Rattus norvegicus: one gene and its partners. The protein of the gene in region 3 purifies or fractionates together with the protein of the main gene of each other region. This does not show direct contact. Links are inferred from orthologs where the notes say so. Each region holds a gene or a part of one and is shown on either strand. Other genes may lie near its edges.

Region 1 (6,094 bases), about 130 Mb from region 3:
GACAGTGTCTGGGCAGTTGAACAGGTGAGAAAGGATCTGAAAGGAAGTCCCAGTAGGAGCAAGGTCAGCTCCTTCCCTGAACTTACTTCTGAGGGGTTTTGATGACTAGATGAACCGTGAGCCCGTCCTTGATCCCATGCTGGTTCAGTGTGTCTCCATCCTTGAGGATCTTGCCTGCGAAGATCAGGACCAGCTGATCCTGCTGAGCCTTAAACCTCCGGGAGATTTCCTCCTTGAACTGTGGTCAAGAGGCAGAGATCACTGTGGAGGCTAACTGCACTGCACTGCCAGGACTCTACCCTCAACTCTGCCCCTCTAGCTACAAGAATGGGCAGTGAGATGGATCTGCTTTTGTCCGATTAGTTCCACGATGCAGTCTTCCAACCCTAGAAAGCCCCTGCTGCTGTCTACTCCAGCAGCTTCTGTCCTACCACCCAATTCTCACAGCAGTATGGGCAGCCCTCCCCATCCTAACTCCTTCAACTAGGACTCAGGCTGACTCTCTTCAGTCTTCTCCCTGCTCTTAATTCCCAGCTTCCTCATAATTATAACAAATCGTCTAGGAATTACTGAGGTCTATTGAGTAATCTAGTGTGTCAGTTATCATTGCCATCTCATTTTATCTATCTATCTATCTATCTATCTATCTATCTATCTCTATCTATCCATCTATCCATCCATTCATCATCTATCTAGAGGGTCTCTAGCTCTTGCTGTCCTGGAACGCTTCATATAGACCTCGAACTCAGAGAGATCCACCTGCTTCTGCCTCCCAAGAGCTGGGATTTTAAAGATAAGGATCAGAGAGTGAATAACGCATCCGGGGGAAATAGGAACTCAAGTCTGGACATCAGACACATCTTCAATAAGAGCTGTTTTGTAATTCACCTTTTCCCGGGAGACTTGAAATTCTTGCATGAGAAAGCAGCAGTGTTACCAAAGGCTACACCGGGGCGAGTTAAATTTTTTAGATTCTATCAGCTCCTTCCAAAACACAACAACACAACACATACTCTAACTATAAACAGTGCACTTGCTAAGCAAAGATCCCTCTTCCAACCAGATGGCCTATCCTAAGCCCCGCCTATGTGCAATTCTGAAGCAGCTTCAAGCAGTGGGGGACACAGACAGGCAATAGTCCCTCACTTATTCTACATTATTTTGTTGAGCACCTACTGCGCTCAGTAAATGTGGTGGAGCAGAAAGAAAACTGAACTACACAACCGTTTCGATTTGCGACAAGGAGAGTCTGTGGAGAGAAGAGAGAGCACCACCACCACGAGACACTCCCAGGGGAGCATAGCCGCAGCTCGCTCGGGCCTCACTGTACCTCAGCGCCTGGAACCTCCACCAATAACCCTGGCGCACACTCCCCTCAAGCCTAGGATCCTTCTGGAGCCTGCAAGCAAGGTGTCCCTTCCTCAAGCTCCCCCACCACGCCCCCAGCCCTGGTAGTGCGGCCAAATCGGCCCCTACCCGCGCCACACTCCCCGGACTAGCCCGGGTAGGGCGCCCCCTACCCGCCTCTCCCGCCTGGATGCCCCTGGGTTCCGCCCCGGCCGGGGGCCCGTCCCCGGCGCCAGGCCGTTCCCCTAGGTCTTCCTCTCTACGCTGACCCCTCAGTGCGCTGCTCCCGCCCTCCTCTCTCCCGCGCCAGCCCTACTACCTCCTTGACCGAGGCTTGATCGCAGATCAGGATCTCCTCCTTGTCCTTGGGGGTCTTGACGGTGACCCGAATCTGGGGCCTCGTCTCAGCCCCACTCGGCTCCGCCATGCCGCCGCCCGGCCGCCCGCCAGCCCGCCCAGCTCCTCCTCCTCCTCCTCCTCCTGGCCCGCCCGGCCCGGCTCGGCTCCGGAGCCTCCAACTCCCCCTCCCGCCCCTCCCCAAGGCTCCGCCGCCCCCTCCGGACAGCTGCAGCCACAGCGCCCCGGGCGGCCTGGGGGGGCACTGCAGTTGGGGCGGCCCGGGCCCGAGCGGGGTGCGCAGCTGGCCCGGGCCGGATAGTGCGGCCCGCGCAGAGGGCGGGAGATTCAGGGCCGCCCGCGGTTCCGTCCCGTTTGGACAAAGGACTTTCGGTGTCGCCGTCTCATCTCCGTTCCCCGAGGTAACTATTTTTCTTGAAAGGCAGAATCGGCCAGGCCTAGGTTCGTTCCTGGCTCAGGGCGTCCTTAAAACCTCTGCAGATTCTAACAGTCGTGACCTCCCGGGAACCGCCCCGAGGGGGCCATTAAGGACGGTTTCAGAGACCTGGAGTTTGCCTACGTGGCTTCTCTGAGCCCTGGGTGTCAAGAAAGCAAGACTCTACAGAATTGTGACTAGCGTACAATATTGCTTTAAAAAATGGCTAAGGATGTGCCTAACAGATACAGAGATTTATTATTAGATTGCGATTGACCAGTAGGCACGGAGGCGCCCTTCGCGTGGAAGAGGTTAAAAGTCCTTCCAACATTGCCACTGTCCTTGCGCTCCCGCTCTTTTCCCCCCCACAGCCACATGGTCTGACTGAAAAGCTGAACTATAGTTCCCAGAATTCCTTGAGCGGTCACAAAAAACTACGATTCCCAGAGGCCCCCGCGCGGGGCGGGAATTGGACCACAGCCTCAGTAAATAAGCCCGGTGACTACAACTCCCAGGTGCCTCGTAGCTGGGCTTCCGGGCCACCGGAAGCGATGAGGGAGGGCAAGAGGCTGCGACTGTAGTGTTTGTGGGAGCAGGTCAGGGTTAAGAGACGCAGGCATGCTGCGTCCTAAGGCTTTGACGCAGGTGCTAAGCCAAGCCAACACTGGAGGAGTCCAAAGTACCCTGTGAGTGAACAACAAGAACCCAAACAGCGAGCGCTGAAATGGGGCGGCGTGCGGATCCCTGCAGTAGGGGTAGGGAAGGAGCCCTGCGCCGGGAGGTGGCTAATGTTGCAAACTGCAGCTTCGGGAACCCTGCGTGAGGGCCTCCTCCGAAAGGGGAATCGACAGTTGATTAGCATGTTCCTGGATATATCCAGCACAGATTCTTGCTTCCTGAAAGCGCAAGTAGCTGGAATTGGGATAGGAACTCAGGCCTTTTACTCTTCCTGAGTTTGTTGATATCCTTCCCATTCTTGTCAGGCTGCTGAATAATGAGGGATCGTTGCTGGCCTACTCCGGTTATGGGGACACAGATGCCCGGGTCACCGCGGCCATCGCCAGTAACATCTGGGCCGCATACGATAGGAACGGGAACCAAGCGTTTAATGAAGACAGTCTCAAATTTATCCTCATGGACTGCATGGTATGAAGTAAAGTAGGCTGACCTCGAACTTACAATGATCATTGTGCTTCTGCCTTCTGAATACTGAATTTGCATGTGTTCACAGTCGCACCTTGCCAAATAAAACGTAGATATTAAAAAAGGAAGTGAGAGTAGGGTGCAGGCCTATGTAAGGGTCAATCTCAGCGAAAAGGAGACATTTGTTAAAAGATCTGGAAGACGATTGGAAAGGGTAAGAGCCATGAAGAGATCTTTTGGAAAAATATTTCTAGCAGTGCTGGCTATGGTGGCTTATTCCTCTAGACTAGTACACAAGAGACTGAGGCAGGATCTCTTTTTTTTTTTTTTTTTTTTTATAAGCTCTTTTTTTTTTTTTTTTAAAGATTTATTTTATTTATATGAGTACACTGTAGCTGTCTTCAGACACACCAGAAGAGGGCATCGGATCCCATTACAGATGGTTGTGAGCCACCATGTGGTTGCTGGGAATTGAACTCAGGACCTCTGGAAGAGCAGTCAGTGCTCTTAACCACTGAGCCATCTCTCTAGCCCCGAGGCAGGATCTCTTTGAGTGTTTATTTTCTTTTTCTTTTTTGGTTTTGTTTTTTTTTTTTGGTTTTTTTTTTTGAGACAGGGCTTCTCTACGCAGCCCTGGTTATCCTGGAAGTCTGTAAAATCAGGGGGACCTCAAAATCTGAAATCTGCTAGCCTCTGCCTCTCAAGTACTGGGACTAAAGGCGTGCACCACCAACGACCAGCCGTTGCACGTATTTCCGACAACAGTTGTTGCAAAGGACCTAGGGCAGAGTGATGCCAGGACAAAGATCAGTAAGGATGGAGTGTCATAGAATGGAGAAAAGTTATTAGGAGATAGCACTAAAGAGGCCTGTGGGCTTCCCAGTCCTCTGAAGAATGATAGTGTGCAGAGCACTGCTGTTCTCTGGCTGCCCATTCTTTACACCCCTCTTACCCACTGCTGGACTCCTACCGGGTGCTGGGTCTAGGGCTGGTGCCATTGAACAGAAGCTTCAAAGGCATTCACTGCAGCCCAGCTATAAGAAATGCATTTTAATGGACAGATGGTGGAGCTCAGTGGTAGAGCAGTAGCTTAGAATGTATGGGATTCTAGAATCTATTCCTAGAAACACAATTTGTGTTTTTGAGTCAGAGCCTAGCACACACACTAAAGCAAGTTCCGTGAAGCATCACTTCTCTTAATAAATGAGCCATTTTATTTTTACTTTCAAATGTTGATCCACTTTAATTGATCTCCATTTTGAACAGTTACAAAGTAGGAAAAGAGACATGTAAGTTGTGTGTGTGTGGGGGTCGTTGTTACCTTTTTAAGGTTTATTTTATTCTGTATGTGTGAGTTGCTATGCCCGGATGTTATATTGAGCACCATGTGCATGCACAGTGCCCTCGGGGTGAAAGAAGGCATTGGATCCCCTAAACTAGATGATTGGCAGCACAATGTTGCTGTTGGGAATCGAACTCAAGTCTACTGCAAGAGCAACAAACAAGTTGGGCTATTGTTCCTGGTCCCTCACCTGTTGAGACAATTCAGCATTAGAGAAGAAAGCCCCAATTTCTCAAAGACTTGGTTCCCCAGGATAACTTGGTTAGGACATGGCTCTGCTGAGGCTGGAATTCAGTTTCAGACCCCCATAGCTTAAATGCTGGGCAAAGTTCCCTGTCTGAACTGCCTGCTCTGCCAAGCTTGGGAGACAATATCTATCTCTAGGACCAGAGGAACCCTGGGGAAGGCAGGAACCAAGGATGTCAAGCAGAGTGCCCCAGTGTATTATGTCATTCCCACCAGGAGGGCCGTGTAGCCATTACCAGGGTGGCCAACCTTCTGCTATGTATGTATGCCAAGGAGACTGTAGGCTTCGGGATGCTCAAGGCCAAGGTGAGTACATTCCTATGCTACAAACTTCCTGGGCTGGAACCAGATCTACCTATGCACACCCTTGCTCTGAATAAGGACATGGAATCTTTAATTAGCTTTATTATAAATTTTGGGCACTATAGCTGGGCAGATTCTCAACTGTTCTAACCCAACAATACTGGCTTGGCCTACGTCCCATCCCATGTCCCATTACCTGTCCATCTTCGTCATGTCCCGGCACCTGCTTCTTCATCCTTGTCCAGCTGCTGACTCCTCAGGGCTGACTCTCAGAATTCCTATCTCTTCCTAGAAGTTCCACCTTCTACTTCCTGCCTCTGCTGTAGACCATCAGCTCTTTAGTAAGCTGATGAGAGGGTGAGAGAGAGTGTATACAAATACGTAGCCAAATGAACCAAAGTCCAGTCTGCACTCAACTCTGCTGGCACAGAGGTCTGCATTTGAATAATACAAAGACAATCTTTACATAGCACACAACTGTATCAGCCCAGCATTGGTCCCAGCCACTGTGCCTGTTCACTGTGTTCCTTACATGTCCCCTTTCTAGAGTCCTCATAGCCCCTCACTCATGTCTGGGGTGGGCCAAAGAGCCATGGGGGTGGGCTGGGGATGGTTGGTTGGTAAGTGTGGGGTAGGGAGCCAACCTGGTTTTGGGATCTGTCTGAGCATAAGCAATGCATGGACTGACTCGTGCTCTCACCTTGCAGGCCCAGGCCTTGGTGCAGTACCTGGAGGAACCCCTCACCCAAGTAGCAGCCTCATAATAGTGTGATGGAAGCTGGAGTGGAAAAGGGATCGTGATTGGGAAGAGCAGGGCCCCGGAAATGCCTCACTGGGCTGGGTGAGGGGTTGCTTTTTTCTAAATAAATTTTCAACTCTTGCCTATGTCTCAGCTGCTTTCTTGGGAGGAAGGACTCAGGAGGGAGGAAGGACTGGGGTGG
Region 2 (6,097 bases), on a different chromosome or scaffold from region 3:
CAACAAAATTGGCTGGGATGGGACAAAGCAATTATGTAGATCACAGAGGTCAGGCAGCTGTGCAAACCTCTTCTCGTTCTTACTGCTCCGTACTCGTCCTAGAGGAACCTATATGAAGGCAGTAGTTGAACCAGGAACCCCAGGAGGAACTGGGAGTCAGTGGAATGGAGCCAGGAATTCCTTCCCTGAGCAGAGAGGTCTCTAGAAGCAACCACCCAACAAAGGCAGGAGCTCACCAGACAGGCGCTTGAAAGGGATGTTCGTGCCATGGTGCAGCCGGAAGCCACAGGCTGTGCTGACCAGTTCTGAGATGGCGCTGGCTGCCTGCTCATCGTTCTCAAGATCCCCAGATGACTGCATGTGGGTGAAGGGGGGCAGGAACAAAAGAAAGAGGCCAGAGTTGGGAACAAATTCAAGGCACAGGACCTCTGTTTCCTATACTTGTTATGGTCTCCCTTGTCTGTAGTCCCAAATCACCCAGCTTCAGAAAAATCCTACCTAAAACCCCTTTATGATGGTGCTGCCTTCCCTTGTGCCATTTTGTTTCTCATTCTGAGACACCAGGCTTCTTTTGCAACTCTACTGATAGCCATGCAGAAAATCAAAACCTAGGGTGTGATTACCAAGTGATCTATCACACCCCCAGCCCCTCACTGGGGGATTCTAGGCAGGGGCTGTACCACTGAGCCACGCCCTCAGCCCCTCACTGGGGGATTCTAGGCAGGGGCTGTACCACTGAGCCACACCCCCAGCCCCTCACTGGGGGATTCTAGGCAGGGGCTCTCCCACTGAGCCACGCCCCCAGCCCCTCACTGGGGGATTCTAGGCAGGGGCTGTACCACTGAGCCACACCCCCAGCCCCTCACTGGGGGGATTCTAGGCAGGGGCTCTACCACTGAGCCACGCCCCCAGCCCCTCACTGGGGGACTCCTGGGCAAGTGTTCTACTACTGACCCATGCCTTCAGCCCCTCACAGAGGATTCTAGGAAGATGTTCTACCACTAAGCTAACTGCTCAATCTTTGAAGGTTCCACTTGTCCCCAGTCTTCCCACTTGTCCTTGTCTGAAGGCTATGAACCAGAAACACCTACTTTGTCTTTGAAGCTTTCCCTCTGGCTACTTCTAGGGTCAATGAGAAGACAGTAGTCCAGACTTCTCTGGACAAACTGCTTCTACTCCCTCTTCCCACTGATTCTAAATGGGCCCTTTACTAGATTTAGTTCCTTTTGCTCTCAGTTTCTCCATCTGTATATTGGACCCATATTCTGTGCTTGTGGAAGTTTCATGAGAAAACAATGAGAATATTATAACAGTGCCTACATAATAAATGTACTATAACTGCTATCAGTCCATCTCACTCATCTCAGACCTCACTCATCTCCTGTCTATAGTCAGGCCATCAAAATTCCCTTTAGCTACCTCCTTGGTCAGCTTCCTTTTTTACTTTCTTATTTGTTCAGGTACCACAGTACTTTTCTGGTTTTCCCTGCTCAGAGTCCTACAGGATGAGTACATCAGAAAGGTAAGGTACATGCAGAAGTACTTTACCTAGTTATTACCAACATATATTAATACCTCTAAGATGTGATCTCTGGGCTGTGGCAATGGCTCAGTGGATAAGAGCGCTTGCTGTACAAGCAAGAGGACCTGAGTTCAAATCCCCTACCCTACATGGCCATGCTCACACCTGGAATCCCAGTACTGTGGGTGTACAGGCAGGTTGATTGCTAAGGCTTGCTCAGTGTTGCCAGTCTAGCTCCAGGTTCAGTATGAGACCCTGCCTCAAGGAATAAGGCAGAGAAGGGTAAGAGGAGGTCTCTAATGTCCTACACTGGTCTTAGCATATGCATGGGCACACACATGTGCAGACACTAAAAAAATAGATACAATGTCTATAGCCCTTACTTCTCATTGCTACCCGGCCAGTCTCTTAGATGGCTCTCCTGGGACAGTCATGCTACACCATTTCTGTGAGTCACATTTATGTTTTCAAAACCCTTTAAGTAACCCTCAAGATTTGTCCAAAGATATTGAAGCTAGCCATAGGAAGTTCAGTATCAGAGTCTTACCACAGCATCCTTCCTCTTCAAACTGTTTCAACACAAGACCACAACCAGGCGCTGTTACACTCAGGCAAGTATGTCCAGCTCCCAGCCCTGAGAATTCTCTTCCTCGTTCACAACCTTCTGTCTTAGCAGCTCAGCTCAATCCTTGCCTCTAGAGAAGTCTTGCCCCCGCCCCCCAAAATTCTAGGGGCAGGTGAAATGGCTCAGAGCATAAAAGTGCTTGCCTAAGGACCGGATTTCAATCCTCAGGACCCGCATGGCAGGAGGAGAACTCACTCCCAAAGGTTGTCCTCGGCTTTTTTAAAGATATCCCAAATAAAAACATACTACAAGTAACTAACTAATTGAATGACTTTGGTAAAGTTTGGTTTTTGTTTTTTGAGGCTGAGTTACATGTGGTCCAGACTGTGATTTGACTTGATACATAGCCAAAGATGAACCTGAATTTCTAATCTGCCGGTTTCCACCTTCCAAGTGCTGGGGCTACAGATCACGTGCCTCTGTGTTTGGTTTTGTGCAGTATTGGGAATTGAACTGAAGGCTTTGTACGTGCTAAGTAACTCACTCTCCTGACTGAGCTATAACCCCAACCTTTTGGAAATAAGCATTTATACCATATATCCAAACATTAAATATGGCAAGCAGGGAACCACAGAGAGGACAAAAGTAGACAACTGAGAGAAAGCGGGAAATATTTGAAGGGATTTCTGGGTTGTGTGTCCCCAAAGGACCCCGTCACCGCCACCACCCCATGCCTCGCTTTCCCACAACGCACCGCTAGCACTGCACCTTCGCTCAGCACCAGGTAGCCAAGCTGGTCTGGGATTCGTTCCAGCCCTTGGGTCAGTGCGGAAGTCTAGTGGGTAAAGAGGCAAGAGGTGAGAACCATGACAGCCTTGTAAACCCATCTCCCTCCTGGATATAAGCCTTTCAGACCCTCTAAATGGCTTGTAACACTGAGTCTCCATCCATGGTCACTATTGGACGCCTGAGCTCTTCCACTTGTCAGGCAGGTGACCCAGGAGACCTTCCTAGCTTCACAGCCCCTTCTCATTCCAGTGCCCTTATGCCCCGCCCCTTGTGCCATCAAAACTACTCCCGGCCGCAAAACACCCGGTAGCGGAGCCTTCCTTCTCCAGCCCTCCCGGTCGCCTCCCTTCCATCTCTGTTTCCTTTCGGTCCCAGGGTGGACTGGGGGTGACAGCGGAGTGCAAGCCATAAGGGGGTAACCGAAGTTTGGGGAACAGGGACGCGCAACCCTAGGCGCACAAGCCCGCGCATGCGTCCTCACTCACCATGGCAGCCGTAGGTGCAGGGGGAGCTGTCTACCGGATAGGTAGCTTCCGGCTCCAGGCTCCGGTCAGGTGGTTCACCAGCTGACTCTAGCCCAGCCCTTCGCTTGCGCATTGGATGGTGCGTACGTCATCAGACTTTATCAACCACTGCGGAGCGCCGCTTTCCGGACACATTCGTGGATTGGTTGCATTTCCTCGCCACTCAGGATTCGCCTGCGAGATTATCTGAAGAGTTATTGAGCGAGGGGCGGGGCACCTCTCCACCTCCTCACGAACGTGCGCGTGCGCCTAGGCTTCCAAGGAGAAAGTAATGCAGTCTAGTGTTGTAAAGAGCTTTCCCCGTTAGGTGTCACGGTTCAACCTGAAAAGAGAAGTTAATGTGAATGACGATGGTTTACACATGAAAAACTGTTCACGTGTTAATTTTCTGCCTTAGTATACGACCCAAATATGAATGGGTAAATCAAATTTGGTGTATATATGCACACTGTAGTATATTATCAATACAAGGGAAAAACGTCCTGACACCAAGAGCAACTTGAGAATCTCGAAAGCAAGTTAAAGCAAGCCAGAAGAATAGCTTCAGAGACAACTCAGCCTTTAGAGGCTCAGAATCAACCAGAAGGACTGGCTTGAAAGGGCAGTCACATAAGACCACATATTATGTGGTTCCATCTATGTAAGATGCTTAGCTGTGACTGACGCTGAATACTTGTAATACTGGTATAAATCCTGGGAAGCCAAGGAAGGGGGTTTCAAGTTCAGGCCAGATTGGACTGAATAGTGAGTTCAGTGCCAGCCTGAGCTACCTACCAGGAGCCTAACTAAAACACATACACTTCTGGCAAATCCAGAAAAACGTGAAAGCAGTTAGTGGTCGGTAGTGAGGCAAGAGAAAATAGGAAGTGCCTATTAAGGGGGGGGGGGGAGTGGCACGTGTGATTTAAACTTTTTGGGATTCGTATTGAAGTCTGCCTATCTTTGTGACTGTGACATAGGTTGTACACTTTGAATTAAAATGTTTCAAGATCTGTGAATTATATAACCCTCCCCCCCCCCCCCCTTATTTTCAGTGCCGAGAAGCAAAGTAAGGGCCTTGCGCATGCTGGGTAAGAGCTCTCCATCTGGTCTGTATCCCCAGCACTAATCATAGCTCAAGAAAGAAAGTCCTCCACCCCAAATCGTCTTGGTTTAGGAGAAGCAGCTAATTAGAGAAAATGCATGTCTTTAAAAATGAGGCATGGGTCTGAGTTTGAACACTTGCCCAGCATGCCCAGGCCCGGAATTCAACATGGCAACAATTTTGAAGTAGGGCCAGCAAAGAGGCTCAGCAGGCAAAGGTGCTTGCCGCCAAGCCTAATAACCTGAGTTTGATCACTGAGTCCCACATTGTTAAAGGAAACAACCAACCCCACAAATAGTTCTCAAACCTACACTTGTGAGCTACGGTACACATGGACACACACACACACACACACACACACACACACACACACACACATTAAAAATAGATATAAAAAGCCAAGAAGTGGTGGTACATAGCTTTAATCTTGTCTTTTGGGAGGCAGAGGCAGGCAGATCTCTTGAGTTCAAGGCCGGCCTGGTCTACAGAGTGAGTTCCAGGACAGCCAGGGCTACACAGAGGAAACCCTGTACTGAAAAACCAAAACCATAAAAATGAAAATATAAAAAAGTATAATTACAATATACAATTTAAACTTAAGTGGCTGTGGTGATGCATACCTATAATCCCAAAGCTGGGAGGGAAGTGGAAGGAACTTGAGTTAGAGGCTATTTTAAGCTAACTAGTGGGGTGGTCTTGAAAGAAATTTTAAATTGGCAGAGACTGTGAAGAGAAAGCTGTTCAAAGATGCTAAACATTCAGGCCCTCCCAGGCCTTAGATACCCATGATGCTGAGGAATCACATGGTTTTGTTTTGTTTGTTTTGTCTTGTTTGAGGCAGAACTTCATCTAACTTAGGCTGACCTTGAGTTCCTGGCGCTCCTGTTTCCACCTCCCAAGTGCAAAGGTTCCAGCTGTGTGCCGTCACCGTTCACCACTGGCTGGGAGCAGCGCTCTCCACACTCATCTAAGACTCTCAGTCATAAGCCCATCATGGCACCCCCTTAACTTCCCTGTAATAACTCCAGCTGCATCCAGTACAACCGGCCAGTGGAAGAGTTAGTTCCCACTCTCCATGGTATGACGCCAAGGCCGATGCTTTTTCCTTTGCTCTGTGGACCAATTATACAGTTCTTTAAAACTACCTTTATGCTTTTGGATTGCAATGAACTATTCAGGAACCATTGGTATTCAGTGATCGAGAAGGAAATGAAGGTCTAGGCGGATTGCGTGGTGGTTAGCATCCTGTGCTGACATTCCAGGGGACCTGGGTTGGTTCCCAGAGACGGGGTCAGGCAGCTCACAAGCTTCAGCTCTAGGGGATCTGATGTCCTCTCTCTTCTGGCCTCTGTGGACACCTGCATGAATGTATTAGCACATGCATGTGCATGCAAGCACTCATGTGCGCGAATGTACATACACGTGCACACACACATTTAAAATAAGAATTATTTTAAAAAGGACATGAAATCAGAAGGCAAAGTTTTTATCTCCTTTTAGATGTTGCATAAACATGATGTCACGGAAACCGTCAACAACACACAGAACACTGGTTTTTCAACCACACGCAGTCTGTGCAATAATGTAAATTACATTCAATTTTACCTCAAAAC
Region 3 (6,022 bases):
GTACTCACATATTTTTTCTCATCAAATAGTTCCTGCTTTCTCCAGCAGAGATTATCCCACAAGCAGAAGCAAGGACTGCTAAGGTCTTACAAGTGGTTCATTCGTGCTTACCAGTTACACCAGGACTGAAAATAGCGGATTCTCCCCGTTCACAAGTTTCATTACAGAAAATGTATTTCCATTTAATATACCCTGTTAGATTAAAATTTCGAGGAACTGAACTCCTGCCAACTCATTGTAATGGAATGCACTTTAATGACCTATGTCTTATTGTCACAGTGGCCGATTATTTAGCACAGAACTTGGAAGCTTCAAGAAAACTCTGAACATTGTCAGCATTTGTAAATGCATACATTCACCGAGACTGGAATATACCAGTAAGAATCAACATTACCAACTTCTCTATTTCTTCTGATAGCCACTGTTAACGACGACTTCTTCAGGGATAAATTTTACACTTCCAGTTGTAGCTACAAGAAAAACTGAAAAATCAAGTATCTGAAGAAGGGGTTACAATGGGTTACAATACAAGAATGGGTTGCCAGGCTCAGCTCACTGTCATCTGTCTGCTGCAGCTCTTAAGCAGACTAACCCTCCGCTGACAGGAAGGAGGGTGGCAATGACTAGGTGCTGACTATCTGCTAACACTGCACCAGGCTCCCTTACCTCAGCTGTGCGGTCCCTCTCAGCCATCTGAGCCCTCCCCAGACCTCATCTACATATACTGCATGGTCTACAATGCAGTAACTGACTGTACATGAATGGTGGCGGACTACAGATACTGCTCTGCACTTCACTTTTTCCTTTCAACAAAATAACGAGTTGTTCCATTTTGTTATATCATAAGGCCACCTCCTTTGTTTTAGATGAAAAATATTCCACTGTATGAATATGCCATAATTAAGTTTTCAGTCCTGGAAGAAAACACATTTTAGTTGCTTTCTTAGCAACTTACATGACCCTGTGTACACACCGCCTGACACCGTAAAGCAGTGTGTGTAGCAGTGAGATCGCTGATGCACAGAAACCTCAGAATTGACTGCTGGGATTTGAGTGTAGGATCACACGAACTTTGTGGGTAAAATTCTTTTTTTCTGGGTGCACATCTCTGTGTGCACATGTGTATGTATGCATTTGTGAGCACATCAGGTATCTACTTGAACTGCTTCTCTCTCTCTCTCTCTCTCTCTCTCTCTCTCTCTCTCTCTCTCTCCCTCTCCTTCATTTATTGGCATATTTGAGGTGGTGTATTCATTCATTCATTCATTCATTTGCTTATTTATTTACTGTGATAGTCTCTCACTAGCCTGGAGCTCATCAGTTTGGCTGGGCTAGCTAGCCAATGCTCTCCAGAAGCCCTGCCTCCCTAGTGTGGCGATTACAGGTATGCACCACAGCTCCTGGATTTTATATGGATGCTGGAACCCAAATTCAGGTGCTCAAGTTTGTATGATAAATACTTCACTGGCAGAACCTCTCTCCTGGATTGAAGCCCCCTGGATTACAATTTTATTCTTCCTGCCTGGAGTAGACGATGACTTTCTGTCATACTGATACTGATAACATACTTTTCTAATATATACATTTAAACGTTTCTAAATGAGGACACCTCATAATCTTTAACACCCAATGTCTGAATCACTGTTGGCCGGGTGGTGGTATGATGGCTACCTCTAGTGGTGTGTGACAAATAACTGCCATCCTGGGCCACCTCAGTCAAACCACAGAACCACTTCAGGAAGGACTGGGATCCGTAAGAGAAGACCTCTCCTGACACCATCTGGTGAGACCAGGACAGTACAAGTACAGGGATCTGCGAGCATCCTCAGAGCTGCTGGAGAAAATCAAGGAAGGTTGTGTCATCAAAGTCACCCACTCTCACAACTGTCCACGCAGGAGGGACACACAACATGTCTGATGACCAAATCAAAAAGTGATCCAGAAGAATCAGGTTTTCTAAGTGTGAGGTGTTATAATGTCTTAACCAATGCATGTTGTTTCTATGATCAACGTTTATAGTTCTATAAGAGACAAATGAGAAATAACACACAATATGGTCAAGAGTTCTTTCAGTGAAAAGAAAGCAAAAATTCCAAGTCCAGGTTTTTACATGTATAATACCCACAGACAGTGTGCAGTGTACGCCTGTGTGTTGTGCGTTGGGTTTTTTGAAATGGTCTGTTTATGTGTCTGGGTGCTTTGTCTGCAAGAATGTCTGTGCACCATGGGCACGACTACTGCTGATGGAGGACAGAAGGAGTCAGATCTCCTGGGATTGGAATTACACATGGTTATGAGCTATCATGTATGTATGTGCTAGGAATCAAACCCATGTCCTCTGGAAGAAAAGCCAGTTCTCTTAACCACTGAGCTTCATTCCAGACCCTCTTTGTCTGTCTGTCTGTCTGTCCGTCTACCTCTACCTACCTACCATTCAAGACAAGGTCTCAGTACGTAGCTCTAGCTCTCCTGGAACTCACTCTAGAGCAGACTGGCCTCAAACCCATAGGACTCTGCCTGTTTATACCTTATAAGTGTTGGGGTTAAAAGCGTGTACCACTATGCCAAGCTTTGTATATTCTAAATGCAATTTACAACCAAGAGCATCTCAGATTTGATGAAATACTCCAAATCCCATTTTGCATCATTCAGGAACATTTTAGTTTTTCTCGCAGATTTTGCATATTCCTGTTAAAACTACTTTAAGGATATTTTATAAATTTTTCTACCTCATTTCCTCACCGGAAGACTATTTATTTTTCGTTTAAACTTTTTATAACTTTCTTCCTTCATTTACTCAGTGTGAGAACACTCTAGTGCTATTGTGCATATGCAGGTCAGAACACTGGCACTGGGTAAGTTCCTCCCTCTCTCATGTGAGGCTTGGGGAGCTAACCCAAGTAGTCAGGCTTAGTGGCAAGAGCCTTTCCTGCTGAGCCATCTCTCTAGTGCCTCGGGTTTTTTGTTTTTTTTTTGTTTTTTTGTTTTTTTTTTTGGCGTGTTACTTCTTTTCTTTTCCAATAGACAAGGTATCACTAAGTAGCCCAGGCTGGCCCCAATCTCCTGCCTCTGCCTCTTGAGTGCTAACTGCTAGGTGTGTGCCGCCATTTTTGGTCTTCTTTTTTCCTATTTTGTAAGTAACCACTTTGTGTATGTGTGCCCGCAAATATGTTCACGCACTGAGGCCAGAGGAGGGCAATTATCCTCAGTCTTATTTCTAAGAGCCAGGGTCTTCCTTAGTCTGGAACTCCTGTTTGTTTGGTTTTTTTGTTTGTTTGTTTGTTTGTTTTTCAATCAGATTGGCAGCCAGCAAGTCATGGTGATCCTCCTGTCTCTACCCACTCCGTCACTGTGTCTTAGGTGTGCACAGGCTCACATCCAGCTTATGTGGTAGCTGGGATGCAGCCTTCGGTCCTCACCTCTGCACATCACACATTGTACCGCAGCATCTCTCAACCCAGTAACTATTTTCTTGAACTCACTCACTAGTCCTCTTTTCTACTTATTTTTTTTAAAGATTCTCTTGAGGTTTCCAATTATAAATTGAAAAATTATTTAATCTGAAATTATTTTAAATTATCTGCTGGTATTTAAATTAAGTGAAGGTAAAAGGCTATTCCTTTTCTATCTTTAGCATCGGATTACTTTGCGTGAAGTGGGTAATCACAGATATTTGAGTCAATTACATAAATGCATCCTACTTGATAGCAGACACGCTCATTCCAAGACACGAAAATGTGTAAACGAGGGCACAGGATTCGTGTCACCATATGCATATACATCAGAGTAAAAATTCTGTAAGAAAACGATTATTTCCCTATCAATACTATTGATCTTTTGGGCTGTAATGTATTATATCTTAATTGTTAGAAGCCCTAATTATGAAATAAACACATTAAGACCTTACCTTTTAGATCTTAGGTCTGAGGAGTCAAACTGGATATTCATAGGTCCGGGATTCACTTCATGTTCTACCTCAGAGATAAGATGCCTAGAGTCACTATCCACGTTTGCCATTTTTTCTCAGATTCCAGGCACTGGGGAAGGCAGTCCTATATGAACCAGAAAAAGGTAATTTAGTTTAGTCTTAAAAACATTTTACTATTTTTAATATATTTGCATGAAAGCAAAATAGAGAAGAATGGGGATTTGCTGTTGGTATCATTTTCAAAGACGGCTCACTGTTACCCAGTTTGGTCTCCCACTGCTGAGCAAGCCACGGACTATAGGTGTAAAGCCATCAGGGCTTAAATGGGGTATATGATTGACATTTATCAGAAATATTACTAACTTGACATTTTTCTCTTTCATCCTAAAGAAAAGTAAGTGAGACAATTCCTTTCCAGGAATATAAAGAGTCAGTTATTTGGAGCCAATCCTGGAATAGAATATTTTTAAAAATCTTTTTGAAAGGCTTAAAGAGAGAGAGAATGAAATCAGGTAAGCTGGCAGCAAAGAAAAGAAACACTGGAATGGCTGCAGGGAATGGCTGCTTTTTCAGAATTTGAACTGATGACTTCAAAGCCTCGAGACTTAGGGAAACAAACAGAGATCAAGGTCCACCTAAAGTAAAGACTGTGAGTTTCCCCTCAGAGCAGAGTACAAGGAGTAAAGGGGCCTCACTCCCTCACAAGGAAACTACATCTCCTTAGCACTGTGGCTAGTTAGTGGCTATCACATTAGGAGGTATAAAAAGAAAGCTCTTCAACTACAGAAAGTTCAGAAGATTAAAGGAAGCCAACCTCCCCGGTAAAGAGTCTAGCCAAACATCTCTCCTGAGTACACACCTGCATATTCAACTAGCTACTCAGCACCTTTAACCTAGTGTAGTTCTACAACTCACACTTAGCACGCTCCAAACTCGACTTCCTTCCTCAAACATGAAAAGACAAACCCCAAACCACATGCATACGGTTTTCTTACTTCAACTAGTGGAATCTTGGTCCTTCTGCTTATCTTACCAGAGACTTCTCACACTCAGCATCTAATCCATTTGGACTCTGATTGGCTCTTCCTTCACTAAAATCCAGAAGCACATCATCTCCCTTCCTTACTGTTGCAGCTGTTTTCTTGTTTTGAGAACTTTTTTTAATTATTATTACCGATATATGTGAAATTTTACTTTAAAATGCTTTAAATGTATTATATTCTCATCCTTGGTACTCATGCTTTAACAGAAACTGTTGAGAACAGGGCTGCCGGGAGGTTAAGGGGAGATGTAATGTTTTCTTCACCAGCTGGATCAGGATTTTTATTCTATTAGATCCTGGGAACTCTCACAGGAGTTACAATATAAGCCAAAGGGTACTATATTGATAAACTCTGGAATAGCTCATTTGCTGAAATACATTTTGTTTTGCTTACTTACTCTGTTTTCATTGAGGAACTCATCAGTGGTTCAATTAAAATCACCTAAGGTAAAAGGCCATCTTTCAATAACAGCAACATGGGACCTAAGACGGTTCCAATCCCGAGAAGATTGAAGGCCTCAGCCACATCTCTCTCTGCAGTCAGGCTCCCAACAGTACTCAATGTGAAGGGTAAAGAACTCTAGCAGATGAGTGGAACTTCCTGCTCTTATCCCCGCCCTACAGTTTATTCTACCACGAAGAGAGTAGAACAGAGCAATACAGAAGGAATTTGATGTCGTGCAATTAGTTGGTATAATTTGGGGGAGGATGTGTTTAACTGACAAATCAAGGACAGAGATCATAAGACACTAAACATTTTATAATGCATGAGACAACTTCTGTCCTGGAAACTACCCAGGTGGAACAGCATCCCTTCTGATGGCTGAGAGAACACGCTACTGGGATTAACAGGAAGACAGGAGATCGTATAGGGTATAGGCAGTGTTCACCTTCTTCAATCTAATTGTTACAGGCATATTTGCTCTATAACTCTATGTATGTGTGAGTGTGTATGCATTTAATGCACTTCTGTGTATGCATACTTCACTGTCCAATGCAAAGAACTACATAAAATGAAATGCACTGTGAGCTGTAAAAGCCATTGTTGCTCT

The links. Proteins that work in one complex are often made in the same cells at the same time.
Region 1: the proteins of Slc38a9 (region 3) and Lamtor2 purify together in Homo sapiens (co-immunoprecipitation; 5 studies listed by BioGRID and IntAct, with this or other methods). This does not show direct contact. The link is inferred for Rattus norvegicus from reciprocal best matches to the Homo sapiens genes SLC38A9 and LAMTOR2.
Region 2: the proteins of Slc38a9 (region 3) and Lamtor4 purify together in Homo sapiens (affinity purification with mass spectrometry; 4 studies listed by BioGRID and IntAct, with this or other methods). This does not show direct contact. The link is inferred for Rattus norvegicus from reciprocal best matches to the Homo sapiens genes SLC38A9 and LAMTOR4.

The regions. Positions count from the first base shown.
Region 1 is NC_086020.1:176,306,296-176,312,389, reverse strand, and holds Lamtor2 (ragulator complex protein LAMTOR2), read left to right. Parts: upstream 1-2,661; 5' UTR 2,662-2,737; coding exon 2,738-2,805; intron 2,806-3,102; coding exon 3,103-3,265; exon of another isoform or gene 3,266-4,492; intron 4,493-4,988; coding exon of another isoform or gene 4,989-5,066; coding exon 5,067-5,156; intron 5,157-5,860; coding exon 5,861-5,917; 3' UTR 5,918-6,037; downstream 6,038-6,094. Other genes in the region: Ubqln4 (ubiquilin-4), read right to left, coding at 87-238, 1,667-1,774. UniProt on the Homo sapiens protein: As part of the Ragulator complex it is involved in amino acid sensing and activation of mTORC1, a signaling complex promoting cell growth in response to growth factors, energy levels, and amino acids.
Region 2 is NC_086030.1:22,369,605-22,375,701, reverse strand, and holds the start of Lamtor4 (ragulator complex protein LAMTOR4), read right to left. Parts: upstream 3,434-6,097; 5' UTR 3,365-3,433; coding exon 3,362-3,364; intron 2,923-3,361; coding exon 2,842-2,922; intron 355-2,841; coding exon 237-354; intron 1-236. UniProt on the Homo sapiens protein: As part of the Ragulator complex it is involved in amino acid sensing and activation of mTORC1, a signaling complex promoting cell growth in response to growth factors, energy levels, and amino acids.
Region 3 is NC_086020.1:46,034,092-46,040,113, reverse strand, and holds the start of Slc38a9 (neutral amino acid transporter 9), read right to left. Parts: upstream 4,047-6,022; 5' UTR 4,018-4,046; coding exon 3,908-4,017; exon of another isoform or gene 23-3,907; coding exon of another isoform or gene 9-22; exon of another isoform or gene 1-8.